Linked DNA regions of Arabidopsis thaliana. The protein of the gene in region 2 purifies or fractionates together with the protein of the main gene of each other region. This does not show direct contact. Each region holds a gene or a part of one and is shown on either strand. Other genes may lie near its edges. The genes, in order: LTA3 and E1 ALPHA.

Region 1 (10,810 bases), on a different chromosome or scaffold from region 2:
GTAGAATGGAAATCTTGTTTACTTAAAGAGTTTTAAGAATAAATACAAGCTTTAAGTTCAACAAGTGCACATTGTTGATATGGTAATTTCATATCATCCAATTAGTGTTACATTTTGCTAAACAAGAAAAGCGAGATCATGGTGCCCGAGAACCCACCTGATTAAGCTTGGGAAGTGAACCAAGCAATGGTCTTCAGAAGCATTGTCACCAGAAAATTTCAGCTGGTACCTCTTTCCAAACAGCGGAAATCTGAGAAGAAAATGACAAACAGTCCAAGTTCACAAAAGGAACTTGATAGCAAAATGAATTTATCTCAGATAAAAAATGCTCACTTTTCTTCCTCCAATTCGAAAGTGATCATGTAACTTTCAGACCGAATGTAGTTTGGAAATACATTAGGCTTTGCACCGCTTCTGTTGTGGTATGCTTCAACATTTTTCTGGTACTTTGCCCTGTTTGACCAGAATGTTAAGGAGCGCAGTCCAACTGATCAAAATATATAGGCAATCAAATGCTGAAGTTGATGCATTGATACAGAAAACATCATTACCAAATCGTAGACGAGTCAGGAGTGATACCGAAAAAATAACCCCCTGGTTTCAGTAAACATGCTACATTAGTTAGGAGTCTTCTCGCACTCTCCTCAGTTTCAAAGCATAACTACATAAAGAAGATTTTAGACCATCACATCCTTGCTATGCTACATTTTTCGGAGAAAACAAACGACAAAATCTCAAACCTGGAGATGGCGCCAACAAGAAACTAAATCAGCCTGCTCCAATTTCTTCTGTAGCTGGATTTCAAAATCATCCTGTGACACAAAATGAAGCAAAAACTAAGACTTTTGCTCCAGATTACTTAGTTTAGCTGAAACACATGGAAAAACAAAAAAAGGCCTTGCCTTGGAAGGATCAGCTTCAAAGAATTCCACATCGTAATTCTTCCTCTGACTCTCCCAAGCTTCTCGTACAGAAGAAATCCCAGAAGATGTATCTACTTCCCCCAAATAGAAAAAAACGCAAACCTATCAATCTTCGATGAAGCCGTACTGATATAACACTGAGTATGTAAGTAAGAGTATATTAATACCAATTCCGATGTAGTGACCAATCGGAGCAGCTTCCCACTTGTCGGTTTCGGGAGCTCCGCCACAGTACAATTCGCAAACCTAGAAAAGACGCAGAGAGAGAGACATAAAGGATAAGACTTTGTAAATGAAATGGAGTTGAGAGGAAGCGGGTTTGTTAGATACAGTGGCATAAGGATGTGCGAAGATGTTGATTATGGCCGTCTTTGCGAAATCGAAGAGACGATGATGGCTCTGCTCCGGTTTTGAAACCACGAAGCCGCTCATGTCTTTCTTCTCCGGCTGAAGTTCTGAAAATTACAATTTTGACACACATTTAAACTTTTCTTCTTCTGTTGCCTCCATATTTCATTTATATTTCATACTTTATTCGTAACACGGATAATGGTTGAATAACGGGTTTTTAATACGATTATGCAAGAACCAATCGAGAAAATATGCATAAGATTCATGAAAATGTAGATCTTACGTCTAAAAATATAAATAAAAGCATATTATGCTAATAAGTAAGCGTATAGTTTCTTGTTTCATTATGTGATTTTTCATTTTTTCATTCTACAAGTTTTTATTATGCGAATGCGATGCTATCAATTCGGATGTATTGTGATCATTTTTTTCTTTATTTCTCCGAAAATGCAAAAACTTTATATATAGAACAAATTACAACACAATTTGCAAGACATTAGACTACTTCAGATGATTAACCTACATCACCTTCAAATCTCTGATATTTCCTTCTTTTGTAATGGTACTTAAACCCTAAATTTTGGATAGAAATTTTGTAATCTCTTGGTTAAAGACTTAACGGATGAATTCAACACTAACCACTATAAGTCTATAAATCGTTTCTTGGAGCTCAACAATAAGATCTGGTAGAACAGAGATGGCAATAATCTCATTTTAAAAATTTTGATGAGGGTAAAATACTTTTTAAATTATTTCACCAGTTGCGGATTGACAGCTGAAATTATTTATTTTGCAGAGGACAGACCAGACAAAAAATACCTCAGGAAGTTACCAATCTATAAGACGAATTGTTAAAGACCAAAACAAATTTTGGTAAGTATATGAACCAAATGGAAAAAAATGAAACATGTGATCAGAGTTAACAATGTAGACCAGCAGTTCTGGTTCTGGATGTGCACGTGGGTTGGTCCGAGGTTTATTATGTAGTAATCCAAGATTCATTTGGTAAACAGTTGGATCTTTCTCACAGAAGAAGTCTTCGAACATCCTCAAAGTTTGAACGCAATTCAGACATAAACGAAGCTGAAACAAAGCCGGTTTCATAGAAAAAGCAATGAGTAACAAAGGAGAAACACAGTGAAATATGGCAGCAGCATAACATAAAACTCGAAACGAAGGGATTTATGAATGTTCCATTACCTCCAACTTGTCCATCAAAGATCCGATGATCAGCGGATAACGTTACATTCATTTTTGTCACAACAGAAGGCTTCTCAATTCCTGAAACAATGACGAAAACTTGTCATACCATGATCAGAATAGCAACCCTAGTTGAAAACCCAAAAGGATTCTACTAGCTCACCATCTAGTCCAATAACTGGCTCAACCACTTTGTTTCCTCTACCAACTGCTAGAATCCCAGCCTGCAAGACAATTGATAGTCCTGAAGTTTATTATCCAAAAAAACACATCTGCATCTCTATAAATATTAAACTAAATCCTCTACACCACAAATTACAAACAGCAAAACTTAATCTTCAATCTGTGATTCAGGGTGCATCGTTAAGGCTATGATTACCTGAGGGGGGTTAATGATTGCGCAGAAATTATCCACAGGATACATTCCTAGATTTGATATGCTGCAAAACGATAAAGTATGGTTTTCTCGTTAAGTAGGAAAAGTTACACATGATTGATAATTCCGTACTATGCTTAATAACTTAAAAATGATGAATACCTGAATGTCCCTCCTTGAAACTCATGAGGAGCAAGCTTTCCAGATCGAGCCTTTTGTGCCAGCTCCTTAACCTGATCCAAAAATCATTTGACATATTAAAATTCATAACTATAGCGATCAACAACACATGGAATATGGTAAGAACTGATCAAACATATGTGCCTCTATAGCCTTCCATATTCGTTTAACTTCAGAGAGAATAAAATTACCTCTAAGGAAATAGCAGAAATAGATTTCTGGTCTGCATTCTTGATAATTGGAGTCATTAAGCCCTGCAAAAAATGCCAAGATGATGAGGGATAAACTGTTGAAATGATCAGAAAATCAAACACACAAGTGTACCTTCTCAGTTGCAACTGCAATTGATATGTCAACACTGTCACACATAACGATATCTCCTTTCTCAGCATCCCAGAAAGCTGCCAGACATTGAGAAAGAGAACTTTAAGCAACCATAAGAAAGGTTTGAGAAAGCAGAAGAGAAAAAACAACCACACGATTCCAATCCACAAATCATTACATCAAACTCACACCAAAAAATGTCCTACTTGTAACGACTAAAACCGAGTCTAAAATGCATTACCAGTCATATTGAATGTTACAGTATTACAATCTCAAAACATCTTTACTAAATACTCTCAACGGAGGTAAACGGCATTGCAAGAATAATCCAACATGGAAGCCGAGTTTCCTTAAAGAGGATGAACTAAGGTTTTAATCTAGCGCATAGTTAGGGATGGGAACAAACCATAGTTTAGTTATTTTTAATGAAATCATTTACGAGGAGAAAATAATTTCTCACCATTAGCTTGTCGTACATTCCTCAGTGCGACTGCCACTGCTTTAATAACTATGTCATTGACAGACACTTTAACGCCATGGTTTTCTGTAGATCATGAAAGTACAGTTCACTCTGAGCCTCTCAAGTTGTTAATAAATACCAGGATGTGTGATAAGAGCAGTCTACAAACCTTGAAGTTCTTTTCTAAATGCAAGAAGAGGATCCAATACAACATCTGCAGGCAAAATAAAATGCTTAAACAGCAAATAAAATACACAAAGAAAATACAAAGGTTGTGAGTCACCAACCTGATTGTAAATACAAATGGGGTATCTTCTGTTTTGATTCCAATAAACGTTTTGCTATAATCTGCCAAGTGGGGAAAGTAAAACAGAATGCAGCAGGACATATTTCATCATTCTACATAGAGAGTAATAAATATGTTAATTTACCTTGCGAATTTGACTATTTGGAAAATCTTCATAATTATTATCTGACTGTGTCACAGAAGGCTTCGATGTGGAGGAGGATTTAGACGGGGTCTCCTTTGATGGTTGCTTCTTCTTCGTAGACGCAGATGATTTAGAAGCTTTTCCAGAAGCAATTGCGGCCACAACGTCTGATTTCAATAATGTACCATAGGGACCCGATGCCTCAATTGATGATGCCTCCAATCCATGTTCTAAAATCAATAGCTTTGCAGCAGGACTGATCTTTGTGAAGCCTGCTTTCCTCTCTGTAGGTTTATCTACAACACTGTCAGGGACTTCTTTAACTGTATCAACCTCAGAACTACCTGCGGAAGAAGACTTGATGGCTTCAATACTTTCAGCATCTTCAACCTACAGAGAAGAACGATTAGCTTATTATATCCCCCAATCTGCAAGCAATTGTATTTTCAAAGATTTTTTGTGCAGGCATAACTTTTACTTCAGGCAATATATAACGTAGCATGGAACTAGAAGAGTGTCGACCAATTTATGCACAAAATGCATTACACACAGGCTAGTAAAACAAATGGATTAAATATACCAGTCGTAATACAGTTTTCTGGCATAAAGAATTCAGTCAATGTACTTTTGAACTAAAAGACTTACTATTAGGGCAATCGGCTTTCCCACCGCCACATCCTTGGAACCTTCAGGAATTAGAATCTTAGCTAAGTACCTACACAAAAGTCATCCATCAAGTTATAGAATCTATTATATAACTTCACTCATTTGATCCAGGAAATCAGTTTTTGTAGAGGAAGCCCATACTCATATGAAAACTACGAAACATGAAATCAACCTTTTAAATCACTATCAGTTCAAGGGGGAACACTTGGAGAGACCTTACTTTTTGCAATTAACATTTACTTCTCACTTAACCAAACAAGAAAAGAAGCAATATCCACAGATAGTGAATGCTATATAGAATGAACATCAACATACTGCCTAGAAAAAGAAATAAGACGACAAGATGTTAGTTATACCCCTCTTCAAGGCTTTCAAATTCCAGAGTGGCTTTGTCAGTCTCGATCTCACCTATGACATCACCCACTTCAATCTGTTTCATGAAATGAGAAGAATCAACACAGGCAAGTGCATAAACATCAGATTTCTTGTGGTGAAATTACAATGCCAATTTACTCATCGGGTCACCAGAAACTAACCTTGTCACCCTCTTTTTTCCACCATTTGGCAATATTACCTTGGTTCTGCACATCAATAAACAAATAATTCAGAGTCTTAGGATAGAAAGCTGAATGCCTTCTCCTCCAAAAAAAGCTAGCATAAAATATGAAATTTCATACCATTGTAGGAGAAAGTGCTGGCATTTCTAAGACGACATGTGGGGGAAGATCTGATGCATCGGGCTGAATGGAACTTTTTTGTTGTGTGCTTTCGTCAGGTTTCATCACTTGATGAGCTGATGTTTCCTCTTTACCATCTCGTCCACCCTCTATGGTAGCAGGAACGTTTTTAATGTCGTCTTCCTCCTCAACCTTGGTTACAATTAAATAGATAAGATTAAACTCTTATCCATCAACCTTATGTAGCAAGATGTTGACCAAAACTGTAACCAATATACGCTACACCCTAAACCCTACGATATATCATGTTTGGGGACATAACATGACAACTCAGTATGGCAAACGGAAATATTTAGAAGAAGAGAGCATGAGATTGGATCTTGGACATTTTTCCACAATAAATATTGACAACGAAATACCATACATCTCTATGATTTGTCAAGTCTTCCAGAATGTAAACCCAGGAAACGAAAGAAAGTGAAAGAGGCCAAGAGCAGACTAGATAAACAAACAGGAACTCCTAATAAGCGTATGTTGATGCATGCATCACCTTTTGTGAGATCATACTTGGTTTCTATAAATGTATAAGACAGCCACTGTGCTTACCATTATTGCAATCGGTTCATTAACAGGGATATCCTTTGATCCTTCAGTGACTAAAATCTTGGCCAGAAATCTGCAGAACCATGCTTCATAGTAAGCCAATTGACATTTTCATATACTTATAGGGAGTCAGATATTTGAATTACCAAGGTATAATGAAATAAAAATACAAATCAAAACATAAAATCATGAACCGTCTTTTTCAAAATTACCCTTCCTCTTGACTCTCAAATTCTACAGTGGCTTTGTCTGTCTCTATCTCACATAGTACATCACCCACCTCTACCTGTCAGGAAGAACCAAATTCATACCTGTTACTGAGAATTTCCACATTCTATATTTTCTTTGCCAGCTAAATTATCAATTTATCGTCTTTCTTGTATAATGATCATTAGTAGACAAAATCATAAAAGTCGACTGAAATTTTGTCAACCAAAAATAAGAAATAACCCACCTTGTCACCTTCTTTCTTCATCCATTTTACAACATTTCCATGACTCTGCAAAAGCCCAACAAACATAAAACAATGATTGAAGTCCAAATGTCTTGGAGGAGGCCAAAATTCTTTACAAGATTGAAGTCAAATTTCCTACCATAGTAGGAGACAAGGCTGGCATTGCAAGAACCGTCTGTGATATGGGTCCTACAACCCAAAGAAAATAATAATTTAATGGAAGAATCTTGTATAATTGATTGCATCTCCTGTCGCTGTATCTAAGGTATGATGGAAGCACAAACATCAGAGAAAAGAGTGATATGGAAGTTTTTGCACCTGCATCAATTAACATTTCTATTTTTCTACAAGTTAAGCGAAAGTTTCCATTAATTATTCTTATCACCCACTTAACATCTGTGTTGGTAAGTCTTATGGCTAAAACAATTTAACAATTGCCGACAGGTTGCTCAAATCAGATGAAAGTCCCATAATCAACTCGTTTAGTAATTCTATAATGGAATTGCTTGGTTGACTCATTTATGAAGATCATTATTCCATAAGATGACATAACAATCAATGAATACCTGTAGATGAAAAGTTTTGCACGCCAAATCGCAGCTACAAGAAAACAATGTATGTGAGAAACACGGATAGATGAAAGTGAAAAAAGAAAAGAAACAGTACTAGCTGTTCACTTACAATGGGCTTTGGAGAACTATCATCCATTCTTGTAATCAAGTCTATAGAGGCAGACCTGAAAATGTAGAACAGACAAAATCTCAAACTAGACTAACAATCTAACACATACGAAACGAACTAAATTATAACCTTAAACTTTGAATGCCTACGATCACACTGACTTTTTCTATAAAAATAAATCTTGTCCTCAATTTGTGATATGGAACACATACCTCACACCATTACTGCTACTAATTTTGTCGTCCAAGTGGTATAGTCCATTAGAAAAGCTGAATAAGAAAGTTCATTGTCAAATGTATTGGAAAGGTAAAGAGATCACACCAGTTTAAGGACACACTTGTTCTTCACTGCGAGTGACGTAAAATGGAAATTACATCTCACAAACTAGAGAAGATAAACCCGTACTACCAGTTCGATAAGAAAAAATGGATAGTTCAATTGTTCCAACAAAACCAAATTTGGCATTCTTAAACATCACTATACAATACGTAATAAGAACTCCAAAAAAAGTCAATGGATGATTGCGGAAAAGGAAAATGAAATCGAACTAAGAAACAGTTCAGTCATCGAATTGCAAAGGATCACACATGGAAGAAGAGCAACATCAAAATACTTTGAAAGAGGCGGGACTAGATAGAGAGAATAAGCGTACCGAGAATGGAATTCGGAGGCAGGAGCGAAAAGACGAGCTCTGAGAAGCGAGGAAGTCCGGGCGATCGCAGCGCGCCGGAAGAGCGGAAGCACCATGAGAGCACTTGGAGAAAAGAGAGCAGGGTTTGACAAAATCACAAATGAGAGAGACGATGATACCGAATCGTAACACTTTTGATTTTGGTCAGATCGCAGCGACGACGGCACGAACGATTCTATGACATTAGGAAAGTGTTCATAATTCAGATACGGCCCGGTCCGGCCCGGATTAACAAATACCAGTAATCTCTACCGAACCGGAAATTCACACTTTTAATCACATATTTAATTGTCCGGTCGAGTGACGAACCGAAGTTTATTAGACATTAAAAGAGTGCCATCGATTAAGGGTTTGATTGGTTTGTTTGTGCGACCACCTTCTACGTTTCCGAAAGGTCGCGGTTACATAAATACAGATTCTCTAAATTGTTCTCTATACACTAAAGTCTTATACCGTTCAAGTTTATAACCATTTTTAATCAGAAAATAACATGTATCATTGTATCAAAGCTTAACGGTAATGGGTTTTAAAATAAATGTTTTACAAATTAATAAGAAGTGAACAAAAAATTTCTCTCTACAATTATCAACTTGATTCAAGTTAAAATAGTTAATAGAACATATAGTATTTTGAGAATCTGTCTCAAGGTTGAGTTTTGGTAGTAGTACACCAGAGATCATCGTTGTTGTTGGACTTATGTGAATCAAATGGAAGCGATTTGACCAGCGAGGGGCGAATGGGACATTATTCTCTAATAGTTGGAGGTTGATGCTTCTGGATGGTTTGTTCTTGATGGGACGCGCATGGGAGTCGAATCTTGAAACAATAGCTAGGTAGGTGATTTTCGAGACGACATTCTTAACGTTAATCATAATACGATAAGATGTCAGAATAGTGAAAAACCAAAAACAAAAAATTGGGAGTAGACAAATAAGAGGTAGAATTGTGTTCTTATACTTGATGGTGAGCTCAGAAAAAAAGAGAGACTTAAGATGTAGAAGCTGAGTATCGTCGAATGTAATAAGCGATATATGTTGCTTGTTGAATGCAAGCCCAATTAGCGATATCTAGTTAAGGAGAACGACATATAGATCAAATCTCATATATCAAAGGTATATGAGCTAGTCTTTATGAATTATGGGTGTGTTGTAATATATCAAGAGATTCTTTCGATCTGTACAGATGTAGTGAACGAGTATTTATAAGAAATATATGACTGGAACTAGTGACAAAAGGTTGAGTGAGTTGGTCGAATCGTTTAAGTTGTTGGATAACAAATAATCGAATACGTTATATTGTGTGTAATTTCGGCAGATGGAACATGAACTATTAACACTACTAGATAACTTTTTGTGATGCGTCGTCACTTAGGTGGAAGAAGGCATGCACGCGTTGTCGAACAACACGTTTTTCTCCATACATGCACATAGCCAGTCTCATGTGGATCGTCAAGCATTTCCAGCATCATAGGAATTTGATCATTTTTGCTTGAAACATGATTTGTTCTACGCAGTATCAAAACTTAGTTTTGAGATATAATACTCTTTAACTATTGTATATAAAATTTTAATTGACCTATGTGATACTATTAATATTGTTTAATTATTTATCTATATTTTTCTTTCTAATTTATATGTACAAATTGATTTATTTATTTTTAATTTCTTACTATTGTTATTCTATATAGTATTTTTCTCATCTATATCCTCATAATTTATTTGAAATCGTCTCTAATATTTTGTTTGTGTTAATTATCTATATAAAAGTTTAATTCCTTTTATACTTTATTTGTAACTAGTATTATACCCGGTGCATAGCACCGAAAATTAATGTTATGATACATTCTTTTTTTGAATTTAAATGTTATGATATGTTACATATTATCGATATTTATACATGAAAAATTAATTTTATAAATAGATTAGTATATAATCGTGTAGGGAAAAATATATCGTTTCATGTATTTGTGGATTTTATTTTTTCAGATGATAATTTGATATATAATGGAGAATTGAAGTTGATATCACAAAATTATTAGTCTTCCAAATATAGAGAATTAGCTTCCAACTTCAATGCTTTCTAGAATACATACAAAAGCTATAAAATAAAAAATTACATATGGTATTCAAAGACTCAATACAAACATAGATTATAGTCATAGACAAAAAAAAGTTACCAGAGTGAAGTTGACTCAATACATAGATGATATCATTTATGTCTTAATGTTGTACACTTCTACTTCGTCTTCAACCTCCTACTACTTTGCCATTGGTGTTTTTCTTGCTCAAGTCTTCTACTTTGTTTGTGTTTTATCCTCTATCGATCAAGTTTGCTTGTTTATTTTTAGTGGTTGATCTATGAAGCAAAAAGATATTAAACATACATAATAAAAGATAATTCAAAAACAGAAAGCATTAATATACTCATCTAAACGCAATCAATAAAATAAAAGAAATATAACATACGCTGGCCATATTGCCTTATATGAACTGATTAGAGATTGAAGACTCTTGTTACAAAGAAGGTCTCGCTCCTAAATGATTTTACTCTCAACCTTCTTTTAAAAACCAATATCAACAATAGAAAGATGATACCGAGATTTGTATATATAGGTTTGAGATCGTATCTGTCTTTGTTTCCCAATAGTTAGTTTGAATGTTTTAATTGAAAAAAAAGAGTTACATAGTTTGAATAGAAGAAAAAGAAATTGTGGGAGTATGGAGAATATGTGGGTTGATTTTTATTTTCTTTTGAGAGTGATCGTGGGAAAATTGACGATAATGTTTTAATTTT
Region 2 (8,315 bases):
ACATCCGCACCGTCTGTTCCACTTCCTCCGGGTCAATACACTGCGGTGAATGCGCCATTTTCGACATCCACACAGCCTGTATCGCTTCCTCCGGGTCAATACATGCCCGGTAATGCGGCATTGTCAGCATCGACACCGCTTACTCCGGGTCAATTCACCACGGCAAATGCTCCACCAGCACCGCCTGGTCCAGCAAACCAAACTTCACCACCACCACCACCTCCACCATCTGCTGCGGCTCCACCTCCCCCACCACCACCTAAAAAAGGACCTGCTGCACCACCACCACCTCCTCCACCAGGTAAGAAAGGAGCTGGACCGCCACCACCTCCTCCAATGTCGAAGAAGGGCCCACCTAAACCCCCTGGTAATCCAAAAGGACCAACAAAGTCAGGTGAGACTTCATTGGCCGTAGGCAAAACTGAGGATCCGACGCAGCCGAAGCTCAAGCCTTTACATTGGGATAAGATGAACCCTGATGCAAGCCGTTCTATGGTGTGGCACAAGATTGATGGTGGCTCCTTCAAGTAAGTATTAAAGTCTATATAATGTGGAATGTGATATTCTTAAGTACTGTATGATTTTGAGTTCTTATGCGGTTATAATATTTGTTTCTTGGGTAGCTTTGATGGTGATCTCATGGAGGCTTTGTTTGGATACGTTGCTCGAAAACCAAGTGAATCAAACAGTGTACCGCAGAATCAGACAGTCTCAAACAGTGTACCGCATAATCAGACTTATATCCTTGATCCTCGGAAATCTCAGAACAAAGCAATTGTGCTTAAATCTTTGGGGATGACTAAAGAAGAGATCATTGACTTGTTAACAGAAGGCCATGATGCTGAGTCTGATACCCTTGAGAAGCTTGCAGGAATAGCTCCAACGCCAGAAGAACAGACAGAAATCATAGATTTCGATGGTGAACCGATGACATTGGCTTATGCAGATTCTCTACTGTTTCACATCTTAAAAGCAGTTCCTTCCGCGTTTAACCGGTTCAACGTTATGCTTTTCAAGATTAACTACGGCTCTGAGGTTGCTCAACAAAAGGGATCTTTACTAACACTTGAATCCGCGTGCAACGAGCTCCGTGCTCGTGGGCTGTTCATGAAGCTGCTAGAAGCAATCTTGAAAGCAGGTAATAGAATGAACGCTGGAACCGCGAGGGGAAATGCTCAGGCTTTTAATCTGACAGCTTTAAGAAAATTGTCTGATGTGAAGAGTGTTGATGCGAAAACTACCTTACTTCATTTTGTTGTTGAAGAAGTTGTAAGGTCTGAAGGAAAGCGAGCTGCAATGAATAAGAACATGATGTCTAGTGATAATGGTAGTGGCGAGAATGCAGATATGTCTAGAGAAGAACAAGAGATTGAATTTATTAAGATGGGTTTACCCATTATAGGTGGCTTAAGTTCAGAGTTCACTAATGTGAAGAAAGCGGCTGGAATTGATTATGATTCGTTTGTAGCTACGACCTTGGCTTTAGGCACCCGAGTGAAAGAAACAAAACGTCTTTTAGACCAAAGCAAAGGGAAGGAAGATGGGTGTTTAACAAAGCTGAGATCTTTCTTTGAATCTGCGGAGGAAGAACTGAAAGTTATTACGGAAGAACAGCTTAGGATAATGGAGTTAGTGAAGAAAACTACAAACTATTACCAAGCTGGAGCATTGAAAGAGAGGAACCTGTTTCAACTGTTTGTTATAATCCGTGATTTCTTAGGGATGGTTGATAATGCATGTAGTGAGATCGCAAGGAATCAACGGAAACAACAGCAACAACGACCTGCAACAACAGTAGCAGGAGCATCAAGTTCACCAGCAGAAACTCCGAGCGTTGCTGCTGCACCGCAAAGGAACGCAGTTAGATTTCCAATTCTGCCTCCAAATTTCATGTCAGAGAGTTCAAGGTACAGCAGTTCAAGTGACTCAGACTCAGAATCTTGATAACCAGAAAAGCAAAAAAATATCATTTACATTTGTTATTATGTATATACAGAATGATAGGGGAGCTTGTTGGTAAAAATATTCATTAGGTTCTTTGAAGATGGTTCTTTCAATTTTACCTGTTTTGTTGATTTTTTTTTTTCGGGTTCATGGATTGGTTACGCCAAAGTTGAATTCTTTTTTTTTTTTGGGAAAGACGAAGAATACAAACAGAAGAAACCATTCCACTGGCCTTTGTTTGTAATTCAATTTGTTATATTATTTGGAGTGCAGCACAAAATGAGATCTCAACTCGATTGCTTGAATATTAAACACGAGACTACTAAAGCTTCACAAGAATAACATTGTTTCTCCTTATGTTTGTAAACAAAGATACAGAGAGATTAAAGTTCAGAAGGGGGGGGAGAGAGAGAGTATACAATCAGATCTTTATTCATATTCATAGATTTCTCTATCAGCCAACTTTCTCATGACACGTGGCAGTTTAACGAACAAGAGCTCCATGATCATGGAAGGGAAGCTTTGACTTCTTTTCTGTCAGGTCCAAATGACTGCCAACAGAAAACAAATGGGTCAATAAGAAAGATTAACTATAGTTTCAAGGGGCGTGGTGCAATATGAATATCTAATTAGTGAAGTACCTCGGTGCCAAATCCCTTCACATACACATTGGTAAAGAGCTCAGAAGGCTCTGGCATTGGGCAATCCTGAAACGGTACAGAGATTTTCGCATAAGGGTCTCGAGTTTACGCTTTGAAAGTAGTAATGTAACTGTTGTTTTACCTTAGCTTTGGCAATGGCGTCATCTACTTCTTTTCTAATTTCCTTCTCCATATCCTTAAGCTCTTTCTCGGTTGCTAGGTCATGAGATAGTACCAGCTTCTTTATTCTCTCAATTGGATCCCGTTCCTGAGTCATATAGAGTAGCACATAAATGTTTTGACTTTTGAGATTTCATCAATAGCTGAGTCCTCGACCAAGAAATGATTTTTCAGGTAAAGAGACTAACGAACCTGCCTCACACCAGATATCTCATCTCGGGTACGGTATGTGCTCCCAGGATCAGACATGGAGTGACCGTGGTACCTGTATGTGTCCATCTCAAGAATCTGTATAGAAGAAACGATGTATTAATGCTTCTGTAATCCATATGATAGGAAAGAATAAACACAGGAAAATAAATTGGAAACCAAAGCTACTACTTATATGAACAACAGCGATATCAAAAACACACTTCTTTGATATACACTGATACAGCGTAATTTCTATTGCAACTGCACAGAAAGAACCAGCCACCCCATCAATATTCAGCTACTGGAATGCAGTGTCCAAAAAGAGGAACTGAAGGGAAGTAAATATCAACTAAAAAATGCAAAAGGAAAGATTAATACTTCACGTCCTACAGGACAGCTAGATATTGCTCATAGCAAATTTACAAAATGCGCCAGATGAGTAAGGACCAAAGGGGAAAAAAACAAAACGTCTGATAATACTAAAATACAAACTTACTATTGGCCCCTTCTCCAACGCATGCTGCTTAGCAAATTTGCAAGCTTGTTTGACAGCAAATGCATCCATACCATCTACCTGTTTATCCATACAAACCAGCAACCGGTCAAACTCAAAAGAAAGTTGCTAACTTGATGCAGGTTACAAGAAACCTAATAAGAACAAGGTAATGATGCACACCATATCTCTGTTAACAATAGAAGATTCATGACAATCATTATCCATAAGACAGTCACATTCATCTCTAAACTGAGAGGTTATAAATGAAAGCTGAGTAGTAGTAAGTTACTTAAGACTTGCATTCTACCTGTTTCTATATGGAAACTAAGAAACTTATATCATTCAGGAAATGACACTAATCCATCTACCCAATCAAAACTTCCCTTTCTCATCTTAACAAGCCTCACACATCAATCCTTGTTACAAATAAGATTCAAAAGCTGACCTTGAGTCCAGGAACATAATCACCACGCTTGTAGTAAGATGGACTCTTAGCGGCTCTCCATTCAGCAGTTCCCATTCCATCTGCACAGATCAAATTCAATCAGATACTACGACAAAACAAACCTACAAAGAAAGAAAGAAAGAAAGAAAGAAGCAAAAATGCTTACAGTGATTGTTCTCGCAGACCAAAATTGCAGGCAAATCCCAAAGAGCAGAAATATTCAAAGCTTCAAACAACTGTCCCTGATTCGCAGCACCATCACCATACAAAGCAAATGTGACAGCCTCTTCCTTGTTATACTTCTGAGCAAAAGCAATACCACAACCTAATGGAACCTGAGCACCAACAATCCCATGACCACCGTAAAACGACGATTCCTTCTTATAGAAGTGCATAGATCCACCTTTCCCTTTAGAACAACCAGCTTGTCTTCCCATAAGCTCTGAGAAAACCTCATGAAGCGAACCACCACGACCTAAGAAAATACAGTGATCACGATAAGCAGTAATAATCGCGTCTTTCTTTGTAATCGCAGCTTCCATGCCTATAGCTACAGCTTCTTGGCCGTCGTAGAGATGACAAAACCCTCGGATTAGCTTCGCTTTGTAAAGCGAATCGGCTGCGATTTCCATACGTCGCATCAACGCCATGGTTCTGAAGAAATCGAGAAGCTCTTGACTCGATGATTCGACGGAGCGTGACGGTGGATCACATAAGTGAGCTGTGAAAGGAAGCGAAGTCTCGATTGTGATCGGAGTTGTGTCCGTTGAGATTAATCGGCTGAAGGCGGCGGAGAAGGGACGAGTGATGATGTTGGATCGTGATGAGAGGCGTGATAGAGCCATTTCTCCGCCGTTGATTCGAAGATTCTCCGGCGAATCTGTTGAAAACTTCGCGTAGGAACTGAGAGGACAATTTCAGTGAAGCAGTAGATAGCGATCCTAATATAAGAGACTCTGAGAGGATAAGAAGGTTTTCCGTACACAGCCTCACGTGAGTCACGTGACACCTGTGATAAAAGAGTCAATATATATTCATATTCTCTTAAAATCATATTATATAATCAAACTCAAATGTGATTAAAGATAAATAACCAAATGGATAAACCAAAATAAATAAATAAAACATGTGATTAAAGAGATTATTAATTTGAAAGAGAATTTAACATTAGAAGGAAAATTCAATAATTGTTCAATGAATGAATTAAAAATATCCAATTTTAGCATCATCCTTAAAAAAAAAAAAGATATTCTAACACTATACAGCAAAACTGGCGGCTCCAGCTGCAGTGTAGACTGTAGAAGATAAAAACTATGGTTGTTGCCATGTGAATCTCTTTGAGCCTAAAATGATGCAAGAATCTTTGTCAAAGACAGTTATTCTCTAGTCTCTCTCTACTACTACTCATTCTTGCATATCTCATTCTCAGCAAAGAACTTCACACCTGCACAATTTATCGTGAGTTAGAGATTATTGATGATTTGCAGTATTGATCACCACAGGCAAATAAAAGACAAGAGGGTTACTTACGGCGTTCTTGAGTTAAGGCAAGGCGACAAGTCTGCGGTTAAGACTCATGTGAAAGCGCGATATTCGTTTCTTTCTCGAGAGTTCACTACTATCAGAGGTTTTAACATTTTCAGGTCCAGTTGGATTCAGTGTTGCTTTCTTCTGCTTTCTTCTATATAAAAGATCTGCTGTGTGTGGTTCATACTTGACCTAATGAAGATTGTAAACTCTCATCAATCATATATACATGTGAAAAGAGAAAAGATTATCAGTGCAAGAGATTCACAAGAAAGTATTTTACCTTGAAAGAACTGCAAGCTATCTTACATTCAACCTCATTGATAATGTTCAATCCTTCCAAGGCACGTGACATCCCTAGAGATTCTTCACCCGGACCACTTAATTTTGCCTTGTTCCTGAAAAGAGTATGCTAAGGTGATTACTAACTGTACTACCACAACTGAAGACGAAAAAAGGTTATGCTCTAATCATTGCTTCATTCACCTTTTCAGAAATAGTCCGGGTTTCTCTTCATCACTGACAAACGAAAGAAAGTCATTCTGCAGATAATTAGCAAAACCTGGTTCCACTGTTACAGCTGTAACTTCAGGCTGATCATTCCAGCTGTTCATAAGTTGAATTCCGAGACGGGTTTGGGCAGATGACTGCACAGAAATTTGCAAATACAGATTAGTATATGGGAACATATAAACAGGTATCCACACATATCAAGAGAAGCATACATATTCAATCCTGTATATGTTCTGATCATGGAGAAGGGCTCGAGCATTCTCATGGTACACTATATCAAAGAATCTTCCTGGTTTTCTGTAGTTCTCGTATGCATATAGCTGCAGAAGCTTGGTGTCTGTCTCATCAGCTGCGACTGCGTGAAGCTGAAGCATGTCCAAGCCACTTAAATGATTAGTGCGGAGCAAACAAAAATAAAGGAGAGAGAACAGAAGCAGAGTCAAGACGATAACAAGGTAAAATGGAAGCTTACATGCTTAACAAACTTTTGAACTAGCTTGTCCAATGTGAAGAGAACATATGATTGTGCTCCGATAATAGCTCGACATTCATCTTCAAACTTTGTATTGTCGCTAGAGCCATCAAGTAAATTGTAAAGGGCTTCCATGAACCTAAGCTTTCAAATATCAGTTAGGAAATAATATTTTTTCAATTAAAAAGTACCAATGATGCTTAGAAAATAAACCACCTGGTATAAGAATCAGTAGATGTGCTATCTGGAGCTTTCCATTTCCTCTCTGAATGTATCTTTGCTGATTGTATTCTCTCGTACAACATCTGGAAAATCAGCAGAATTAGCGGTTTGGACTGAGACAATTGACATTTGAGGAACATGAGAAGGTTGTTTCGTAGCACTTACTTGATGAAGCCTAAAAAGCACATAGAGTGAATCATTCCCATAGAAAACTCGAGAATCATTCCGGGTGTCGCATTCACTTGCTTGCAGTGTCCCAGGCACATGCTTTGCAAGGGGCTTTACAGGTTGCAGATACCGTTCTGAAAATGTGAAAAAGGATCCATCTTCACCCTCGTTGGAATTAACCATCCCTCCAGCCTCATTTTCACTCTCAGCTCCTTTATGCTCTTCATCGGAAGAAACTTGGCCACCAAACTTGCTTGCTGAGACAATAAATTTCGAGGCATTTTCATCCCCTTCTGATAACTTTTGAGTTATTTTATTATCATCATCTTCAGGGAGGGCATTGCTCCTTGTTACAGCTTCAGTACCACATGCACCCTCTTTGGGTTCTCGGTCTGTATTACTTATTTCATTATCTGGTAGTTTCTGCACAGGCTCGAGCCCATTCTCTTTATAAACCTCGAAATTTTCTTGCTCGCAACTTTCAGTGGGGGATAATTCACCCTCTTCTCGCTCGACCTTATGCCCTCCCATTGATACATCACTGACCCTACTACGATTCTCTACACCCTCCATTATCAAATCGTTTCTGGTTGACACCAGTTTGGAAGGCTGGCTATCCTGTAGAACCACAAAAACAAATATCAAGGAAATATCTTTTTTCACATACAGGAATATTATGAAAACTTAAGCAACTTTCATTTATTGCCCAACAGTAAAATACGCTCTACCACCACTAGTCCAGATTTATGAACCTTTGACTATATTTACTCAGTGAAAAGTGAATACGGCCTCAGGTCAAGAACAAAGGTACTCAGGAAGAAACAATACGGTTACCTCATTAGTTATAGCTGCAACATCATGCAGTTTATCTTGCTGAATGCTTTCTCCTGTGTTGACTGGCAAATCTTGCGCAAAAGAGCTTCCTTGTATCATTGGGTTTTCTTTGTTAGGCATTTTTGGAGGTGTTAACGGTTTAAGGTTTGAGGCCATAGAACCGTCACATGTATTTTCCTTCACTGCCTCACTTGCATCATGGTGCTCTTGGTTGTCTTCGATCTTTGCAACATCTTTCATTGTCTCAATAGTTTCAGACCTAGAAGGAACGCCAAACATGGGCTCCAAAAAGGTTACCCATAGCTTCATTACTTTATCCGACTGTTCAGTAGCACATATTTCCTCACAATAATACTTGATTAGCTTATATAGGTCAGTATGAACTTTTGTATCAGTATAAATGAACTCCACATCTGGGGTGAAAGAGGGCTTAGTTCCAACAGCAATGGCACGAAGCAGGTCTTCTTTATGCTTTCTCTCACTGATATCTTTAATCTCCGCCACTAAACCTGCATTTGGGACATAACAACCAACTTTAGTCGACACAAACTTGCACTTAAATGATACAAGATATTCTCTTTGTTTCATCATTTTTTTCTTCTAACAATCAGTGACGCTTTTATATTAAGAACTCTCCCTGTAGAGAAAGAAATTGCTAATATGAAATATCCACAAAATCTT

What was found.
Region 1: the proteins of E1 ALPHA (region 2) and LTA3 purify together in Arabidopsis thaliana (affinity purification with mass spectrometry, with the first as the bait; one large-scale study listed by BioGRID). This does not show direct contact.

Annotation. Positions count from the first base shown.
Region 1 is NC_003074.8:19,357,580-19,368,389, reverse strand, and holds LTA3 (Dihydrolipoamide acetyltransferase, long form protein), read right to left. Parts: upstream 8,185-10,810; 5' UTR 8,074-8,184; coding exon 7,979-8,073; intron 7,596-7,978; coding exon 7,539-7,595; intron 7,382-7,538; coding exon 7,327-7,381; intron 7,246-7,326; coding exon 7,212-7,245; intron 7,063-7,211; coding exon 6,785-7,062; intron 6,691-6,784; coding exon 6,646-6,690; intron 6,478-6,645; coding exon 6,404-6,477; intron 6,265-6,403; coding exon 6,195-6,264; intron 5,781-6,194; coding exon 5,589-5,780; intron 5,493-5,588; coding exon 5,448-5,492; intron 5,342-5,447; coding exon 5,268-5,341; intron 4,961-5,267; coding exon 4,891-4,960; intron 4,636-4,890; coding exon 4,246-4,635; intron 4,163-4,245; coding exon 4,102-4,162; intron 4,029-4,101; coding exon 3,984-4,028; intron 3,899-3,983; coding exon 3,815-3,898; intron 3,432-3,814; coding exon 3,355-3,431; intron 3,285-3,354; coding exon 3,222-3,284; intron 3,084-3,221; coding exon 3,013-3,083; intron 2,915-3,012; and 9 more. Other genes in the region: AT3G52210 (S-adenosyl-L-methionine-dependent methyltransferases superfamily protein), read right to left, coding at 158-250, 334-453, 552-661, 741-812, 903-997, 1,091-1,169, 1,254-1,355.
Region 2 is NC_003070.9:22,047,796-22,056,110, reverse strand, and holds E1 ALPHA (pyruvate dehydrogenase complex E1 alpha subunit), read right to left. Parts: upstream 4,979-8,315; 5' UTR 4,744-4,978; coding exon 4,065-4,743; intron 3,979-4,064; coding exon 3,899-3,978; intron 3,532-3,898; coding exon 3,454-3,531; intron 3,054-3,453; coding exon 2,958-3,053; intron 2,854-2,957; coding exon 2,728-2,853; intron 2,652-2,727; coding exon 2,586-2,651; coding exon of another isoform or gene 2,574-2,585; exon of another isoform or gene 2,552-2,573; intron 2,496-2,551; coding exon 2,451-2,495; 3' UTR 2,226-2,450; downstream 1-2,225. Other genes in the region: AT1G59910 (Actin-binding FH2 (formin homology 2) family protein), read left to right, coding at 1-527, 624-1,944; SNL5 (SIN3-like 5), read right to left, coding at 5,441-5,617, 5,709-5,823, 5,912-6,072, 6,151-6,303, 6,411-6,549, 6,627-6,715, 6,798-7,418, 7,635-8,143. UniProt on the Arabidopsis thaliana protein: The pyruvate dehydrogenase complex catalyzes the overall conversion of pyruvate to acetyl-CoA and CO(2).